Cricetulus griseus: one gene and its partners. The protein of the gene in region 3 interacts with the protein of the main gene of each other region in a pairwise test. Links are inferred from orthologs where the notes say so. Each region holds a gene or a part of one and is shown on either strand. Other genes may lie near its edges.

Region 1 (4,865 bases), on a different chromosome or scaffold from region 3:
ATGAAAAGCTGGGGGAAGGGCATCTATAGTAATGGGAACGGTAAGTTCAAAGGCCAGACGCAGCTAAATTTGTCATGTTCTACAAGTTCAGGTATTTATCACTGCTTGAATGCATGCACTCAACACTCACAAAAACGTTTCAACCTTTCCATTAATTAACTTCTTAAACAATGGCAATTGTAAAAGGGTGCCCCTTCATTTGGAACGGCCCTATGTTTGGGGTGGGGGCAGGTAGGCCCTTAGGTTGAATTCAGCCTTTCAAATAATTTCTTTACACTTGAGATGAATATAAAACCAATGTCCAGAACACATTGTGGAGTGTGTGTGTGTGTGTGGGGGGGGGATGTCCTTAGTATCAGAGTTAGATACTAAGATGGCCTGGAGAAATTATTTGCTCACATACACAGTGCAAAATGTCAACTTTCTTACCCCAAATTGTACTCCAAGAACCATCCCCTTACCATGTCCACCTGTCAGCAAAAAATGTTTGCTTTTTCCATTCTTCATCTAAAGCTGGCTTGGCCTATCTTCTTAGAATCAGAAAGCTGAGGTCTAGCCCGCAGGCTGAAGACTTCTCTGCAACTGGACAGCACGGTAAACCACTGGCTCCCTAGACTCTAAGTAGATGATTAATAATCAGTACTCTTTACCAGGTGACCACTAATCAGTACTCTTTACCAGGTGACCACCAGGTCCTGTTCTCACGAAGTCTTTGCAGCACTATCTCCTATAAGCAAAGCCTCCCAAATTCTGGAAACTGGCTGCATCCCCCTCACACCAGTTTCGTATCATTTGACTACAGAACCTGACCTAACTTAATCAGGAACAATTTTCAATCTCCCTTCATCTCACTTATTGTGAACATTTACACCATTTCTTGAGATAATTAAGTTTTAATACCCCCAGGTCCTGCCCAGAGTGTTAGGTAATATACTGTACTATCTATCAGTGGTTCTCAACCTTCCTAATGCTTGCTGCAACCCTTTAATACAGTTCCTCACGTTATGCTGCTCCCCCAACTGTAAAATTATTTTTGTTGCTATTTCCTAACTGTATTTGGCTATGGTTATAAATCAAAATGTAAATATGTGCGTTTTCTGATGGTCTTAGGTGACCCCTGTGAAAGGGTCTTTAGACCCACAGTTTGAGAACCATTACTATATAAGCAAAAACGGAAAACCTTCTAAAATTCAAAGCTAAGAATTCAGGAAACATACCTGACCTCAAAAATTTCGGGTTTAAGCCGGGCCTCGGCCATTTTTTTCAGCTAAGGAAACTGAGGCACTCTATTGCTTCTTGGTCTTTTGGCTAAGATCAAATGTAGGAAGTCAGAATCGCTCGGTTCGGAGTGGAAGTAGCGCTTTTGCAATTTTTGAGAAGTTAAAGGTCTCTATAGTCTTGCACTTGGTACCTGGAGCTGCCAGACACCTAGAAGATGAGGGCTTGTGCAGGATTCGCACTGTCTTTGGCCGGAGGGCAAAGGGGGCTTCCGGGGCGGCAGCCACCTGGCCCGGCCCCCTCCGGCCCCGCCCGCTTCAGCTAGGCGCGGTGATTCATTCCCTCCTTTGCCCGGGGGCCCCCTTCCCGACCAGACGGCGGGACGAACGGCTGGGTGTGCAGCGACCTCGAACTCGTGAGCCAGAAAACAGAGCTTCTGCGTCCCAGTGACTCCAGCACACACCATGGCGGACTCTGAGCGCCTCTCGGCCCCTGGCTGCTGGTTAGCCTGCACTGGCTTCTTACGCACCAAAAAGGGACTTTTCCTGTGTGCTGAGATTGTGAGTGTTCCGTGGCTGGAGGGTGGGCAGGCTGGACCGCTCGGTACTGGACTGTTCGGGCTGAGGCAGGCACGTGGCCAGGCTGGTTGGCAGTGGGGTGCAGGTGGGTGAGTTCGTGGAGGAGGATCGAAGCCAAGGTGCAGGGGGTTCCCTGGGACATGGGCGAAGTAGTGGAGAGCTGGTGGTGCACTGGTGAGGCGAAGAGTCTATAACTTATGTTGAGGGCTCGGCGTGGGGGCATAGACTCATAGTGGATGCAAAGAAGGGGTCCCGGGGAGAGTGGGAGCCTCTCGTGGCAGGGCGTGGCCGGCCTGGGCACTGGCTGGCGGGCTGGCAACGCGCCCAAAGGCGGGGCCTGTTGGGGTGGGGTAAAACTAGTCCCCTAGGGTAGGGCACTCCACCCTTTGCCAGTTCTCCCTTGCCAGTTTGGGACTGGATGGGAGGTCCTTAGCTCTTTGGATGGTTATAGGGAACTTTGGTTTTCCATCCCCCTCAAAGTGGTCACTGCCTTTGGGTCACTTATAAAAGAGGTGCGGCGCCTTTAACGGAGCCCTGCCCTCCTAGTGTCAGTCTCACCCCTTCCCAAAGGGGTTGCCTGGGGAACCGCACGTCCCTCCCCTGAAGGCATGGACGCTGGCGCCACCAGCGCTCACAAAACACCTGGCAGAGCCACTCCCCTCAGGGAAAGGGGGAACCGAAGCACATAATTCTGCTCTTTTCTTACTGGGTGACCCTGGGCAAGCCATTTAACCTCTCTATGACTCAAATTTCTAATGTATAAAATAGAATAGTACCTAGCTCATTAGATTCTTGTGATGATTAAGTGAAATAAAACATGTAAAACTCCTAGACAATGCGTGGAGAACAGTGAGCATGCGAGAGGTCTTTAGCAATCATTGCTTGTCATTTTGGCACTTCTGGTAGTTCGTCGCCAAAAGGAATTTTTCTTTCCTCCCCCACTTCCAACTCTCCCTGCTGAGTGAGCAGAGCCTAGGGCCTCATACGTGTTAGGCAAATGCTCTGCCTCAGAGCTATATCGCCAGTCTTGGGAAGTGGATTTCACTTTTTTTTTTTCTGATGGCCATCTTTTCTAATTTCAAACTTTGCTCTTAAGCCACGGCTGATGGCTGATTGAGGTCCCCTGTCCCCCTCTCAGATACTGTGCCTGGTGGTTTTAATTTGCTTCAGTGCTTCGACATCAGCATACTCCTCCCTGTCGGTGATCGAGATGATCTTTGCTGCTGTCTTATTTGTCTTCTACATGTGTGACCTGCACTCCAAGATATCATTCATCAACTGGCCATGGACTGTGAGACAGGGACCAGCATTGCTGAGGGTGGACAGGGGGTTGGGAAGTTGCAGTGGTCTGGAGAGCTGTGGATGCTGAACTGACCTTTTTTCTCCATCCACTTCACAGGACTTCTTCAGAGCCTTCATAGCAGCCATCCTCTACCTGATAACCTCCATTGTTGTCCTTGTAGATGGAAAAGGCAGTTTCAAAATCGCTGCTGGGGTAAGGGCCCAAGAAGCATATCCAAAGCACAGGAAGAAGGTTGTGAGGATCTAGGGGCTTCTTCATGAGTGTGTGAGCCACATCAGGCCAAAATTGCTCTCAGGAATTGCAGCAAAGTTTGGCCCCAGAAATGATTTTTATCTACCAAGATAATTTGCTGTAAAACACTGTCCGCTGTCTGACAGAGAGACCTTTGTCAACATGTTAGGCTACTATCTGCTAGAACTTTGCCTCAGATGTAGTATGAAGCATGCCTTCTACATATAAAGCAATGGGGGTGCAAAGAGGTAACTGGGGAGATGGTGGGATAGTAAATATTCAGACTCCTGGCCTTTCCCTGATCTTCTCTGGTTTCCTAGCTTAGGGCTGGACTCACTATCCTACATGGCCTTGTACCTGGAGGTGGATACAAGGACATAGAGGCTGAGTAGGTACACCCTCTAATCCAGTTCCCTCACTCCTGTCTTCCCAGGTACTGGGTATATTTGCTACATTGCTCTTTGGCTGTGATGCCTACTTCACCTTCCCTTTAAAGCAGCAAAGACATACAGCAGCCCCTACTGGTAAGAGAGGGGGGGAAAAAGGGGGGAGAGAGGCAGTGTGTGTGTGTGTGTGTGTGTGTGTGTGTGTGTGTGTGTGTGTGTGTGCGATCATGAGTGCATGCATGCTGAGAGCAGAAAAAAAGAAAAAGGGCCAGGTGTGGTGGTGCACTTCTTTAATCCCAGAACTCAGGAAGTACAGCCAGGCAGATCTCTGTGAGTTCCAGGCCAGCCTGTTTTACATAGTGAGTTCCAGGATATCCAGAGCTACATAGTGAAACCCTGTCTCAAAAAACTTAAAGGAGAAAAAAGAAGAAAAAGGGGAAAGAACCTCTTAGGGAAGGGTATGAATGCCAAATCTGACCTGTATTGATACTTATGCCTTTTGTGCCAGTAAATATCATAAGTGTGTCAGCATTCCTGTTGGTAAAAATGGCACGTGGATCTATCAGTGCTTTCTTTTTTCCTCTTGCAGATCCCACAGATGGCCCTTGATCCTCATTCATCTATCTCTGCTACCTGCAAATAGCTCCTCCATCAAAAACTTCCTCTTGCCTGGTGTGGTGGTGCATGCCTTTAATCCAAGCACTCAGGAGGCAGAGACACGTGGATCTCTGTGAGGCCAGCCAGGGCTACACAGTGAGACCTTGTTTCAAAAAAAATACCTCTTTCTATTTCCACAACACTCCCAGCCAATTCTCTGACCCCACTGAAAGTGCTTATGTATGGTACAGGAGATTGAACCTAGAACCATCTGCATACTAGGCAAGCAGTCTCCTCCCAGCTACACCTCCTATAAAAGTGCCTTTGTTGGGAGAGTTTTGTCTTCCAGCCTGCCAATCAACCCTCCTGGGTGTGGTCACCTTTATGGGTGTGCCTCGGTCCCCCCTTTGCTCTGCAGTACCAGCAGCTGACATGAGTTCTGCTTGAACCATTCCCCCACATAAGCTACAAAAAGAGTGACCCACTACAAATAACCTTTTCTCTGTGTGGGGTGAGCTGTGAAGGGCTAAATAAATAATAAACAGATTGTTA
Region 2 (4,116 bases), on a different chromosome or scaffold from region 3:
ATCTACTATTGTGACATCTTTACATTTTTCTCTGTTACAGAATCCTGGTAGAAAATTAGACAGAAAGAAAAGCTGCTCAAACCTTTGACCAAGTTAAACCTCAAACTATTGGAACCTTCAGGCTGTTTTCTAGGCCCTTCTTTTAACACTGTTCAATTTCTGTGCCCTAAATGTCTGTACAGCCACCATCTGTAGCTGTTCCAGACCAGGCTTTCCAGTGTGGGTTGTAGTAGTCTTGAGTATCAGGACTAGGCTATCTCCTTTGAGCTGCCTGACTAAAGAGGAAGGCAAATGTTCATCTCTCTCTCTCTCTCTCTCTCCCTCTCTCTCTCTCTCTCTCTCTCTGTGCTCTTTCTGTACTATTTTTAATCAATTGATGGATGGATTACTTATATTTACGGGGTATAATGTGGGATTAACTCATCACCTTAAACACTCGTCATTTCGTCATTGGTCTCTTATATCTGATTCCTTTCTCTAGAAAACGTTTTACGACAAAGACAACGAATACCTCCTGACTTGGACACAAGGGTTTCTCTGCTCAGTATTTCGAACTTCCTCAGCTACTTTTCTTCAGAACCTGCACTTTTCTTTTTCTGGAGCAGCATCCCTATGCTGTCCTGCTGACGTGGGTCAGGGGAAAGACGCCCTCCCTAAAGGCTAGCTTGGCCGGCTTCTTCTTTCATTAGCGGGGTAGCCTAAGTTCTCCAAGGAGCCTGGTACGGAAGTGTAATCTTCCCGCGGGGACCTCCCTGACATCCGAGACAAAGTGAAATTTGAAGTCGTAAATATGGGAGAAAACAAAGGCCGCTGTTTTCGAGATGGCTTTTGTGCCTGAGGCTTGGTGTGTGCACTCTGTCGGGCCCCTCCTTCCCTCCCTCCGGGGATATAAGGCTCTACGAAGTAGAATCGCAGCTCCGGCAAGGCGAAACCTCCTGGCCAGGACCCAGACTGCACAGCCGACCTTCCTGTCCGCCAGGAGAATAGAATGACTACCAGGAGGCCAGAAACAAAACACTTAAATGTTTCATTTATTAAGGAAATGTTAAATAAGAAAAAAAAAGTCAAACGTTGTCACGGATATCAAGAGCACTTTTGTGGAGTAAACCGTGCATACACGAGCTACAAATTCTACTCTGGATCTTTGTCCCGGGCTTAGCTGGAGCGCCAGCCTCCCAAAGAGACCCAGCTGGAAATGCACTAAAAGAAAGCACTTAACCCCATTCACAGTCTCAGGCTACCCTCCCCCCACCCCTTCTCCCAAGATGACAAAAACTCTAACCCGCAGGCAGGCAAACAGGCCACTAGGGCTTAAAAGACTTATCAAATATTTGTATTCAAGCAAACTAACACAGATCTCTATAAACCACAGGTTACTATTGATCAAAGTTCCACTCTCCCCGCAGGTCGCAAAACCCACACACATCTATGTTCCCATTAGGTCTGCAGTGTGCTGTAGAAACAGGTCAATTTCGTGTCACCCGGCTACTAGTGCCTCTGGATATCCTCCCCACCCCAACTCCCGCCTTTCTCGGCCTCTCCAGATGTCCCCAATGCTGGGCCCACCTGCAGGTGGAAAGGGGCCTTCGCCTGGTCCATCTCCCCGCGTCTCAGGCAAGCAACGGCTCCCAAAGTTCTGCGCCTTAATCACCCTCTTTTGCCACCTGCTGCTGAGTCCCAAAGTCTGGATGCTCCGTCTGAAGGCTTGCTTGGGGCCTTTAGGAGAGCGATCAGAAATGGGTCACTTTTTCCCCAAAGGCAGGAGGCGAGAGAAAAAAATTCTGACTCCGACAGGTTTGCTTTACTCGGTCTCTGATGGTGAGAGGTGCATCACGGCTGGTGGAGTACTGGAGAGGCCAGGAGCACCAGCCGTGGGGGACCAGAGGGCCTCTCAGTAGGGTCCCACGACCACTGCCTCAACCTCTTTAGACGGCCTCCGGTCCTTCACCAGGAAGTTGATCATGCCTTCGGATTTGATGAGCAGGTTGCAGCCAAGGAAGAAGATGCCGAAGACCACGGTGAGCGAAAGCACGCACATAACTGCGATCTGCACCACGCGCATGATATACAGGCTACGCTCGTCGGGGCCACCCTCGGCGAAGCCATCGTCGGTCACCACCGACGCCTGGGTGCAGCAGCGCACGGCGCGCTCCAGAGCCTCGCTGCTGTTGGCCAGGAAGAGACCGGCCACGTCGGTCTGGTTGCCCAGCACTGAATTCATCACGGGAGCAAGCGGGAGCCAGGAAGGCGAGGATCGGAGGGGTGGGGACCGGGAGGCGGTGGCGCCGGAGAAACAGGTGCTGGAAGGAGCGCTGGCTGGCACACTTGTGCGTACGGGGCTCCTCAGCCTCCCTTTCAAAGTCCCTGGGCCGTGAGAGTCTCAGGAACCTCTCCTGGGCGCGCTGCAAGCTGGCTCGTGTGCGCCTTGTGCTGCCCGGGCTTTGCTCGTTCCCGGCAGTGCTCGCTCGACTGGGAGCTCTTGGAACTTGGCGGGTTGGGCCGGAGGGGCCGTGGGAGGCGCGGGCCGCGGCGGTGGCCCGGCGGCTGCTCCAAGCGCACAGCGGCCCCTGCTGGTGGCAGAGCCGCGCTGCGCCCCCCTCGGCCAGGAAGTGGAGGCAAAGAAAAGAGCCGTCCTAGCTGGGTTTGTAGTATCTTCATTTCCTAAGGCCAGGAAGAGGTCACTAAACACTCTTGATGTGATGAACAAGAAAAGGATTTGGGGAGAAAGGCTGAAAGTGGCAGAGAACCTGGGTCACACACGCTCTTGAGAGTGTCCTTCAATGCTGCCCCTCTCACCTTTGATTTGACTTAAAGTGGCCAGGTACCAGATGGCCCTGGCCAAAGCACTGACCCACTGCTTATTCCTGTCTACCTGCTTGTCCGGGAACAAGGGGGGCGGGGCAGGATCTGGGAAGTTATTTCTTTCTCACTTCTTTTTGGAGGTGTGGTGGTGGTATTATTGTTTTAAGGAAGGAAGAACTGATGAAAGCGTCAGAAAGAGTAAAAGAGTTATTACATGCCAACGTAGTGAAGCGGGGTTTGCAGTGAGCTGCAAGGCCAAGGCAAGGGGCAGGACGATGAAGGAGGTGTTCATCTGTGGCTCGTGGGTGAAAGTGCTAGCCAAGAACAGGGTTAACTCTCTGGTAAGGGAGGTGGACAGAGCCATCACTTCACTGCAACTTTAATTGCAGAGGAGTTTTTGGATGAGCTTTCAGCGTTTTTGTCCTTGGCAAAAAATCAGTTGTTTAAGGGAATTGCTTGTCCACATCCACCACCTAGACTGCTAGCCAACAGCTGGAAGCCTCCCACCAGAAGCTGATGCACACCCCCAGCCTTCCTTACTCACTGCAGAGCAAACTGCCGGCTTTTCAGGGAGCTATGGAGGCTCAGTCCTTCGTGACTGCTGTTGGTTCTAAGTTCCAGGGGAGTCTTACAAACTGGCCAGTTCGTATTTTAGGTTCCAGAAGATGCCCAGTTTTCGGCCCCCCTTCCCCTTCTCTCCTTTCCCAGTTCTCTGCTTTCTTTGACCCCTCTCTTTCTATTATAATGACTGGAAACGAGACATTGATGTTCAGTCCAAACTTTTGAAAGAATACTCTTAACTAGTTTCTACTGAGATAGTGGAGTTGCTTTGCTATTCTCTGCTCTATTGGGGATGGGGGTAGGGGTGGGGGTCGGGGGAGGCTCTATAACTAGCTCAGACTGTCCTTGAAGCAGTCATTCCAGGCCTTTTATTTCTGAGTTTGGCATCGATAGACATGCACAGAGATTTTTGATTACACCGTATTTGCTGACTTAATCCCCCCTCTAAGAGTCATCCATTTCATGTTCAGGTCTCTTTAATGTCTTAGCACCATTTCCCTATGCCTCATCTCAAGCCACAGGACTGACTTTTAGACAAGATTTTTTTTTTTTTTAATTTTCTGGAAGCTTCAGTAAGTTCTAGATACCTAGATGCTTTTGTAATGGAGAATAGGCAGGTGTGAACCGCAGAGAACCAGGACTCAGCCATATTTCCTTGGCTTAGTTGCTCTAGTTTTCATGATTCAGTCGACCTTGAAGAATGTTTAACCTTCAAAAATATCTCTTTTTTGGGTCAAATTTATTATTAATGGA
Region 3 (3,970 bases):
CTCAAAGTGTTGAAGAGTAGAGGGTCAGTGTTGTGATCTGCTTTTCTGCAGAACCTCAGAAGCCAGCCTCAACTTACTGGGGGCTCCCTGGGCGATGTCCTTCCTACCTTAGGGAGAGGCTAGGATTACAAAGGAAGGTGCACCACTGATGCTTCCTTCTCTGTCATTTGCCACTCCGGATTCCCTTGGATAAAACTTGAAGGCCTACAATAAGAACGACTGGTTGGCTGCCCTAAGGGGCATGAAATAGATATTTTTCCCATAAAATATTCTAATTTCTCTCTTATTTTTAAATGAGATATATGTATTTTATTATATTGTGTTTTGCTTGCTTGTATGGATGTGTGTGTGTGTGTGTGTTGCCTGTGGAAGTCAGAAGAGGGCACTAGAGCCCCTGAAACTGGAATTATGGATGGTTGTAAACCACCATATGGGTAAAGGGAATTAAACCAGGGTTCTTTGCAAGAGCAAGTGCTCTTAACCACTAAGCCATCCATCTCTCTAGTCCAGATTCCAATCTCTCTCTCCCTCCCTCCCCTGCCCCCACCTCTCTGAGATAGGGTTTCTCAGTGCAGTCCTGGCTGTCCTGGAACTGACTCTGTAGGCTAGCCTCAAACTCAGAGATTCCCTGTCTGTGTCTCCCGAATGTCGTCGGGATTAAAGGCGTGTACCACCATGTCCGACTGCTTTCAGCAAATAAGAAGACAGAGATAGGCTTGAAAGGCAATTTCTATTTGAAGGCACATTTTCTCACCAATCCCAGTGGTCTCCCCCAAGGCTCTTGTCAGCCATCCTCTTGATGCTTAGGAGTTGACTTGAGGTGGGGGGAGGGGCAGGAAGAAAGAGTCATGGGAGGCGGGCAGTGATTTATTACATACTCACACATATATACTGAGCAAGCAGTCACTCTGCCATCCAGCCACTACATGTGACTATTTACAGTTCTTTTGGAGGTTTCATCCCTCTGCCCCAGCCCCCCACTTTTGTTTTGTTTTGTTTTTCGAGACAGGGTTTCTCTGTGTAGCTTTGGAGCCTATCCTGGCACTCCCTCTGGAGACCAGGCTGGCCTCGAACTCACAGAGATCCGCCTGACTCTGCCTCCCTAGTGCTGGGATTAAAGGCGTGTGCACCACCAACGCCCGGCTTCCCAGCCCCCCACTTTTACAGTGAGATTTCTTGGAAGTCTGAAAAGTGGAAGGTTACAGGGACCCATGTAGGTTGAGAGAGGGACGGCAACAGCTGCAATAGTCTTGACTGAGGCAAAAAAAAGTCTTGAAGCCAGGGATAGAGAGGGTCTTTAATCCAGGCCTCCTAGGGAGGTTTCCATCTAGTGTCAAAGATGTCCTTATCTGATGTGATTCCAAGCTCTACCCTTGGGCTTAAGCCCATCTCCTTGACTTTCATCTATACAGCTGGCAAAGACAGTTGAGGTTGGGCTGCAGCTCTGCACCCCTGGCCCACAGGAAGCTGGGTAGTGAGGTAGCCATCCAGCCTTAGCCTTAGTGTGGCATAGTGAGAGGCCAAGAAGGAAGAGTGTTAATCCAGTCTCAGGCTCTCACACTCCAGGAGTAAAACAAAAGCTAGGAGAGAACTGGGGTATCTGGGCCCCGCTGGATGGGGCCCCAAAGGGCAGTAGCAAGATTCCTCACATTGAAGGTCCACGACCTGGGCAAAGGCCAGGCCTGCAATTGTTTCAGGGAAGCACTGAAATTCCCCTGCACAGCCCCAGGGCAGCTCAGCCCCATGAGCGCGGCCTGTAGTCGGAGATAGATCGCATGTGGTCCGGGTAATCCAAGCGACTCTCAGAGGCAGTGAGCATGCGCTCGGGCTCCACCACGAACATGTAGTAGAGGTTCCACATCAGCATGGCCAACAGCGGCAGGAAAGTCAGCCCATAGCCAAAGCCTCGGAAGGAGCGGCCCACAGCAAAGGTCAACCAGTAAATCAGCCTGTGGGAGCATGACAAGGGTTATCTTCTCTCCAGGACCCAGCCAATCGGTCAGGAGCAGGCGCCATGCTGGTACTACAAACGCCCAGTTAATACATATGCTCCCAATGTTTACTTTCCCACATCTTTGAAGTGAGAATATTATTCCCGTCTTCTCTTTTATTTACTATTTAAAATTAAAGGGGGGGGGGGCTGTGAGAGATGGCTCAGTGGTTAAAAGCACTGACTGCTTTTCCAGAGGACCCAAGTTCAATTCCCAGCACCCACATGGCAGCTCACAACTGTCTGTAATTCCAGTTCCAGGTGGTGCGTCACACATAGTCAAAGCACCAATTCAAATAAAATAAAGATTTAAGCCGGGCGTTGGTGGCACATGCCTTTAATCCCAGCACTCAGGAGGCAGAGGCAGGCGGGTATCTGTGAGATGGAGACCAGCCTGGTAGTTCCAGGACAGCCTCCAAAGCCACAGAGAAACCCTGTCTCGAAAAACAAACAAACAAAAAAGTAGGCAAAACTAATTTCATTTTGTTGTTTTGTTTTCGAAATAGGGTTTCTCTGTGTATTAGTTCTGGCTGTCCTGGAACTCACTCTGTAGACCGACTGGCCTCAAACTCAGAAATCTGCCTGCCTTTCTTTCTTCTTCTTCCTCCTCCTCCTCCTTATCCTCTTCCTCTCTCTCTCTCTCTCTTTAATATTCATTTATTTATTGTGTATACAGTGCAGGCCAGAAGAGGGCACCGGATCCCATTACAGATGTTTGTGAGCCACCATGTGGTTGCTGGGAATTGAACTCAGGTCCTTTGAAGAGCAGCCGGTGCTCTTAACCTCTGAGCCATCTCTCCAGCTCCTGGCCAACTAATTTCTTTCTTAATTAAGTTACAATTAAATGTTCATTTATGTGATCCAGAATTAAATGACAATTCAACTTTAATGTTTTCTTCCCCTGTTGGGTGGTATTGCCACATATCTTTAATCCCAGAACTCAGGAGCAAAGGCAAGCAAATCTCTGGTTTTGAGGCCAGGCTGGTCTACAAAGCTGGTTCTAGGATGGCCAGGGCTACACAGAGAAACCCTATCACAAACAAACAAACAAACAACAAAAATTGTCTTCCCTGGCTGGGCGTTGGTGGCTCACACCTTTAATCCCAGCCCTCGGGAGGCAGAGGCAGGCAGATCTCTGTGAGTTCAAGGTCAGCCTGGTCTCCAGAGCGAGTGCCAGGATAGGCTCCAAAGCTACACAGAGAAGCCCTGTCTCGGGGGAAAAAAAAAAAAAAAATGTCTTCCCCTTTTCTGATTCCCATCCTAATCTCCCCAACTCCCACCCTAGGTATCCAGTTCTACAGTTTCTTGATTCATTTCTGTTTTGTAGATACTAACAAAATCTTGTTTGTGGTCCAGGGCCTCACAAAGCTAGGCAAGTGATCTGCCACTGAACTATATCCCCAGCCCCCAGTCCTTCCTTCACCCTCGCAAATGAAGGGACTACAGGCACACTCCACCAGAGCCTTCTGCATGCTAGGCACATAGTCTACAACCGAGCTAACTCCCAGTCCAGTGTCTCCCCTCACTGTCAACTGTTTTGTCTGCTCACTGTTGCTTTGTTGTTGAGTTAAAGCCTCACTATGCAGCCCTGTATGGCCTCAAACATGTCCTGATTCTCTGGCCTCTGCTTCCTGAGTGGAGGCTGGGACCACATGCGGCCCATACTGCTGTGCAACACTGCATTCCCTGAAAGCGCCAGTGTGGTAGTGCAGACTTTTAATCCCAGCACTCAAGAGCCAAAGACAGGTGAATCCTGGTCTACACAGCAAGTTCCAAGACATCTTGAGCTTCTCTCAAACAAAACAAAACAAAGGCTCACTTTCAATAATGGTAGGTTTGAGACCAGCCTGAATTACATATTTTCAGCCAGTGTGGGCTACATTTTCAGATTCTGTCAATAAAATAATATCCCCTGATGACTCCAAATTGAATGAAAAAAAAGTAATGAGAGTGAACTAGCCTCTGGGTAAAGAGTCAGTG
Region 4 (4,944 bases), on a different chromosome or scaffold from region 3:
CCCGCGAGGGGCCCCCTAGTGGCCGCTGTCCCGCACGGGGCGGAGTACCTCCCCGCACGGGACACGCTGTCAGGTCCGTTCCTGCCTCTCAATCCCTGGATCAGCGGTCTTTCTCTCAGCCTGAGACACCAGTCTGTCTGAGACCTGCTCTCTTGCTTCTCGCTGTCTCTGTCTCACTGTCTCTCTGCCTGTCTCTGTCGCTGTCCTTCCCTGTGGACACACCGCTGGAGGGCGCCTAACACCCGTGTATGGCACCTAGGTCCCGTCCCCTATCCCCGCCTTTTGCCCCCTTCCCCACTACCTGGGGTAGAACCAAATCCCCATCACTCTTAGACAGAAAGGATGTGGCAAAGCGTCCCAACTCCCCCAAACCCTCTCCTTCCAAGGACGGCTCCCGCCAGGAGCGAAACTGAAAATGTGGAAGAAAAGACATGCCACCCTTTGTTTTTCAATCAGGCTGCTTTATTGCTTTGTGGTAGGAGACCCCCTGGCCTGTAGGAGACCCCTCTCCTCTACTGGCTTCTACTCTGTCGGGTCGAGCAAGAACAGGAGCAGCTTCCTGCTTGTCTGCAAGAGACCCTTCTCTGCGTGCGGGTCTTTCCTGTCCCCATGCGGTTACCACCGACCCTGTGAAGCAAAGAACTGATGTTTATCACGTGAAGGGCGGGGGGGGGGGGAACCTAGGGAGCCACTCGCTTGATTCCAATGTGGGCTGTCTGTGAGCCTGCCATCCTCTGCCGTCCCCAGACCACTGACTTCAGGAGAACCCTAGTAGGTTTGCTGACAAAGCCCGAAGCCCAAGCCTTCCCAACGTTGTGCAGGCACCATCAAAGGTACCCTTGCTCACCTGAGGGGGTCCTAGATATAGTACAGTGGTAGCTCTCCACACAAGGTGCTCACAGCAAGGCCTAGGAATGCCAGGTCTCTCCCGGAAGACTCAGAACCAATGCCATGCCCTTCCTCCTGACCCAGCTTAGGGGTGGACGCCGAGGGCTTGGCCTGGAAAGAACACATATGTTCAATCTCACCTGCAGTCCTTATTGTGGGACACTAGGCTAGCCAGGCAAATTCTCGAGGCTCAGTTTCCTCACCGATACAGAGGGACTAGGCTGAAATCAGAAGCACACAGGTGGTGTCTGAGCTCAGCCAAGCCAACAACTTAGCAGCAGGCCAGCTGACAGCTGGGATAGGTGTAACACAGGTGAGTGCAGAGAGAACACATCTGGCCCAGGAGAATCAATACCATGCAGATGGCACTAGCCATCATTTCAAATATTCCTCTCCCCAACCCTTGGAGGGAGACAGCTCACTCCCTTTACTCACACACCCACCTTGAAGTTCTGGAATTTTCTAGTAAAAGCCTCAAGACTGGGGATGCTCCCTGGATCCATCTTCATGATGTAGCAGTAGGTACCCGGGGCTGGCTTATAGGCAGTCAGGAGCTAGGCATGTAACACGGGAGGTCATTCAGGAAGGTCCCTTGCCTTGCTCACTCCCCAACCCTGATTCTCAGCCAACTCCCTTTAGATTGGCCATGGGAGACACATCTGAGTCCGAGACTCCAGCATCCGAGGGGAAGCAGCCAGGCACAGAATGGAGAGAGACCTCTGGAAAGAGGTGGTACAACTAGACAGTTCCAGTAAAGTCATATTGGTCCCTCAGGCATACTCACTCGCTGGTAGTCATACACAACAATGCCAGTGGAACCAACGGAGAAGGTAGCAATGGTGTCCATGTGCTCACTCAGGGCTAGGCGTTTCTGAGTTTCCGGTGCTCCGATGCTCATTTCAAGGACCTAGGGAGAGGCTGTCAGAGTGCTGCCTGGCATTCCTCTTTCTTTTCTCAGCCCTTTGGTACCCATATCTACCCAGAGCCCTCTGTTGGAACGCAATTCCCTCTTTCCTGAGATCTCAGGAAGGCTAAAGATCACTGGTGTTGGAGGGACTGGTGGTTATCACACTGTAGGCCAGGGCCTGGGGAAAAACCATCTATGCTGGTCTGCTACCCCATCTCTGCTTGTATCACTCAAGATACGCTCTTGTTTGCCCACCCCAGCAAACTTCCTCTGTCTGACATTCATCGCTGCTACTCTTTGCTCAACCCAGGCCTGCTCACCATCTCAGTATGTTTTTGACTCATGTGAAGGCCCATGAGCAGGGCCCCTACAATCACCACGACAACAAGGACCACCACCACAACCACGATGAGAAGGCGTTTGAGATGCACGGGGCAGCAGGGGATGCGGAACTGGCTCCTGGGACCTGCTGAGTAGTCCTGAAGAAGCGGGGGGGGGGGGGGGGGGAGCAGAGAGACAAGCAGGCAGTTGAGAGGATGCCCATTCCTCTCCCTGAACCAACCAGATGCACGCTCATACCCCGTTAGGCTATGAATATGCAGAGGAGCGCTGGGGAGACCAGAGGCTTTTGGGAAGGTGGTCGGATTCAAACAAACCCACAGAAACTTAGGAAGTTAGAGGCAAAATCTAGGTTTGGAAGGATCCAAGAGAGCCAGTTAGTAATCGTATGTTCTGTTTTCCCAAGACTCTTGGCACCTCAGACATAGCCAGCATTTTTGTGCCCTTCCCCCTCCCCAAGGATCCAGGTAGCACCATCTCCATATCTTTATGTAGAGTCCCTTTCTTCCTTGTATGCCTTCCTCCTTTGCCTTGTGGGTGCCTGCATATTCTTCCTAGGCAATTTCATGTGTCATCTTCACGCCTATCTGAGGAGCCATCCTTCTCCTTTTTTTTTTTTTTTTTTTTTTTTTTTTTTTTTTTTTTTTTGAGACCCAGGCTGCCTTCCACCTCCTTACATATCTAAAGATAACCCTGAATGATTGTCTTGCTTACACTTCCAAATGGTGTGGACCCCATGCCTGACTTATGGGGTCCTGGGGACTGAACCCAAGGGCCTTTGATTGCAGTGCACTCTTCCCACTGAACTCCATCCCAGCCTCACATGCCATTTTCTCTGTGACCTCCTAATTACTTGGTGACTCTAGCAGTGTTTTTCACAGGCCTTTCTATTGACCCCTACGGTGGTTCTCAACCCCTTTATACAGAAATTCATGGCTGCCATGCCTGCCTCTTCCAGGGACTCTTAATGATCATGGTGTCTCCATCCTAACAGCCTAATCCTAAACTAATTGAAGAAAAAAATCCTATGGAGAATGGAGCAGGCAAGTCCAGTACACTTATGTAAATACACACACACACACACACACACACACACACACACACACACACACACACACAAAACCACACTCACCGGTGGACTCTCCATCAAGACCTCTTTGCTACCCACATCCATTTTGTAGGCTTTCTTCTCTTCTCATCTCTCTAGTGTGGCCAGTGTCCTATATATATCATCAGAGAGAGAGGGGACAGAGGTGAAGGACCAGGTCTTCTGTCTGCCAGCCAAGTCCTTGGCTTTGAAGCTTGTTTATTCCAGGTTTTTCACAGCCTAGGCCCTGATAAGCCAGCTGCAAGAGCCCCCAAGGGCTCTTGGCCTAGGCACATGAATCCTCTTGGCCCCAACAAGAGCAAACCTGGGTGAGGTGAGCAAACTCACCCTCAGGCCACCTGCTCCTCTCACCGTGGGTGTCTTTCTGGCATGTCTGCCTCTCTTGCTGGCACCTGCCCCTGCAGCCCTGTGGCTTCTCTTCGTTTGACAGGCCAAACCTTTCCTGTGGTAGCCAAGAATCTGGCCATCCCTTTCTACCAGATAACCTCCCCCAGGCTCAGACATGAGTTCCATCAGGGACTAAGAAAGTGGTGATTATTGATGGGGGTGGAGAGGTGTCTACTGGAGGAACAGGGCTTGGAACAAAACTGGGGATCCATTAGTGTGGTTTCTGAGACAGGGTCGGTTCCTCTTTATCCTGCTTCCCACACCTGCTGTCTCTAACCTCGGATTTGCTCCAGTCATTTTTCTTACTCTGGAAACCCTTTCCTCACAGCTGCAAACCTCTTACTGGGGGATAAGTCCTGTTTCACTCCTTGCCCCGGGCCTGTCTGTAAGTTGAATGCTCTGACGACTATTCCAGGCCTTAGTTTTTGCCTTCCAGTGCTGAGGATCAAACTTAAGGTCATGAGCATGCTTGGGAAGCCGTTTTCCACTGAGCTACATCCCCAGACATTTTCTCAAGCCAAGATGACCTTGCACAGGGCTGAGTGTGGTCCCAATCAGCCACCTCTGCCCTTCGACCATTCTATCTACCCTTCTGACCTCCTGTTTATATCGTCTAAATTTGCCCAATGTGATTTAACCAAATCCCATTCACTTTCATGACTTCCTCCTTCTCCTCTCTCCCTCCCTTCTCTCTTTCCCCAAATTCTCTCCTGTTGCTTGGGGTACTAAGTCAGTCACATCTACCAGTGACTTCGGATTGGTTGCACCCTTTCAACTTGGCCTTGGCTACATGCCTTCAATTCCCTTTTAAAGATTTATTTATTTTTATTTTATGGGTATGGGTGTTTTGCCTGTGCACCACCTGCATGCCTGGTACTCTTGGAGGCCAGAAAAGGACATGGGACCCACAGGGGCTGGAGTCACAGAGAGTTGTGAGCTTCCATGTGGGTACTAGGTATCAAACTTGGATGCTGTGAAAGAGTAGCCAATGCTTGTAACCACTGAACCTTCTCTCTAGCCCATCCGGTTCCCTTTCAGTTGCTGGCCAGGTGGACTTGAAACATCTTTGCACCTCTCAACTTTTATGAATGTGTAAGCTGGAGCCTAGTACTTCCTTGTATTGACCTGGCACCCTTGTTCTCCTACAAAGCTGCCCCTTAATATCTCCAGATTGTTTTTAGGACTCCTCATGGACACGCCAAATCCACAGGCATGCAAGTCCCTTATACAAATTAGACTATAGAAGTTACATACAACAACCAGGCAGTGGAGGCGCACACTTTAATCCCAGCATTTGGGAGGCAGAAGGATCTCT

Evidence for each region. The genes of interacting proteins can lie anywhere in the genome.
Region 1: the proteins of Tmem79 (region 3) and Plp2 interact in binary tests that used the Homo sapiens proteins (3 or more experiments, as listed by UniProt). The two-hybrid records come from large-scale screens. The link is inferred for Cricetulus griseus from reciprocal best matches to the Homo sapiens genes TMEM79 and PLP2.
Region 2: the proteins of Tmem79 (region 3) and Rprm interact in binary tests that used the Homo sapiens proteins (3 or more experiments, as listed by UniProt). The two-hybrid records come from large-scale screens. The link is inferred for Cricetulus griseus from reciprocal best matches to the Homo sapiens genes TMEM79 and RPRM.
Region 4: the proteins of Tmem79 (region 3) and Sftpc interact in binary tests that used the Homo sapiens proteins (3 or more experiments, as listed by UniProt). The two-hybrid records come from large-scale screens. The link is inferred for Cricetulus griseus from reciprocal best matches to the Homo sapiens genes TMEM79 and SFTPC.

What each region holds. Positions count from the first base shown.
Region 1 is NC_048604.1:114,134,551-114,139,415, reverse strand, and holds the start of Plp2 (proteolipid protein 2), read left to right. Parts: upstream 1-1,557; 5' UTR 1,558-1,682; coding exon 1,683-1,778; intron 1,779-2,934; coding exon 2,935-3,087; intron 3,088-3,195; coding exon 3,196-3,291; intron 3,292-3,763; coding exon 3,764-3,854; intron 3,855-4,305; coding exon 4,306-4,325; 3' UTR 4,326-4,865. UniProt on the Homo sapiens protein: May play a role in cell differentiation in the intestinal epithelium.
Region 2 is NC_048599.1:120,434,306-120,438,421, reverse strand, and holds Rprm (protein reprimo), read right to left. Parts: upstream 2,483-4,116; 5' UTR 2,222-2,482; coding exon 1,892-2,221; 3' UTR 1,009-1,891; downstream 1-1,008. UniProt on the Homo sapiens protein: May be involved in the regulation of p53-dependent G2 arrest of the cell cycle. Seems to induce cell cycle arrest by inhibiting CDK1 activity and nuclear translocation of the CDC2 cyclin B1 complex.
Region 3 is NW_023276806.1:66,163,663-66,167,632, reverse strand, and holds the end of Tmem79 (transmembrane protein 79), read right to left. Parts: intron 1,950-3,970; coding exon 1,736-1,949; 3' UTR 712-1,735; downstream 1-711.
Region 4 is NW_023276807.1:225,165,014-225,169,957, forward strand, and holds Sftpc (pulmonary surfactant-associated protein C), read right to left. Parts: upstream 3,309-4,944; coding exon 3,267-3,308; intron 2,275-3,266; coding exon 2,116-2,274; intron 1,796-2,115; coding exon 1,673-1,795; intron 1,443-1,672; coding exon 1,332-1,442; intron 1,024-1,331; coding exon 859-1,023; downstream 1-858. UniProt on the Homo sapiens protein: Pulmonary surfactant associated proteins promote alveolar stability by lowering the surface tension at the air-liquid interface in the peripheral air spaces.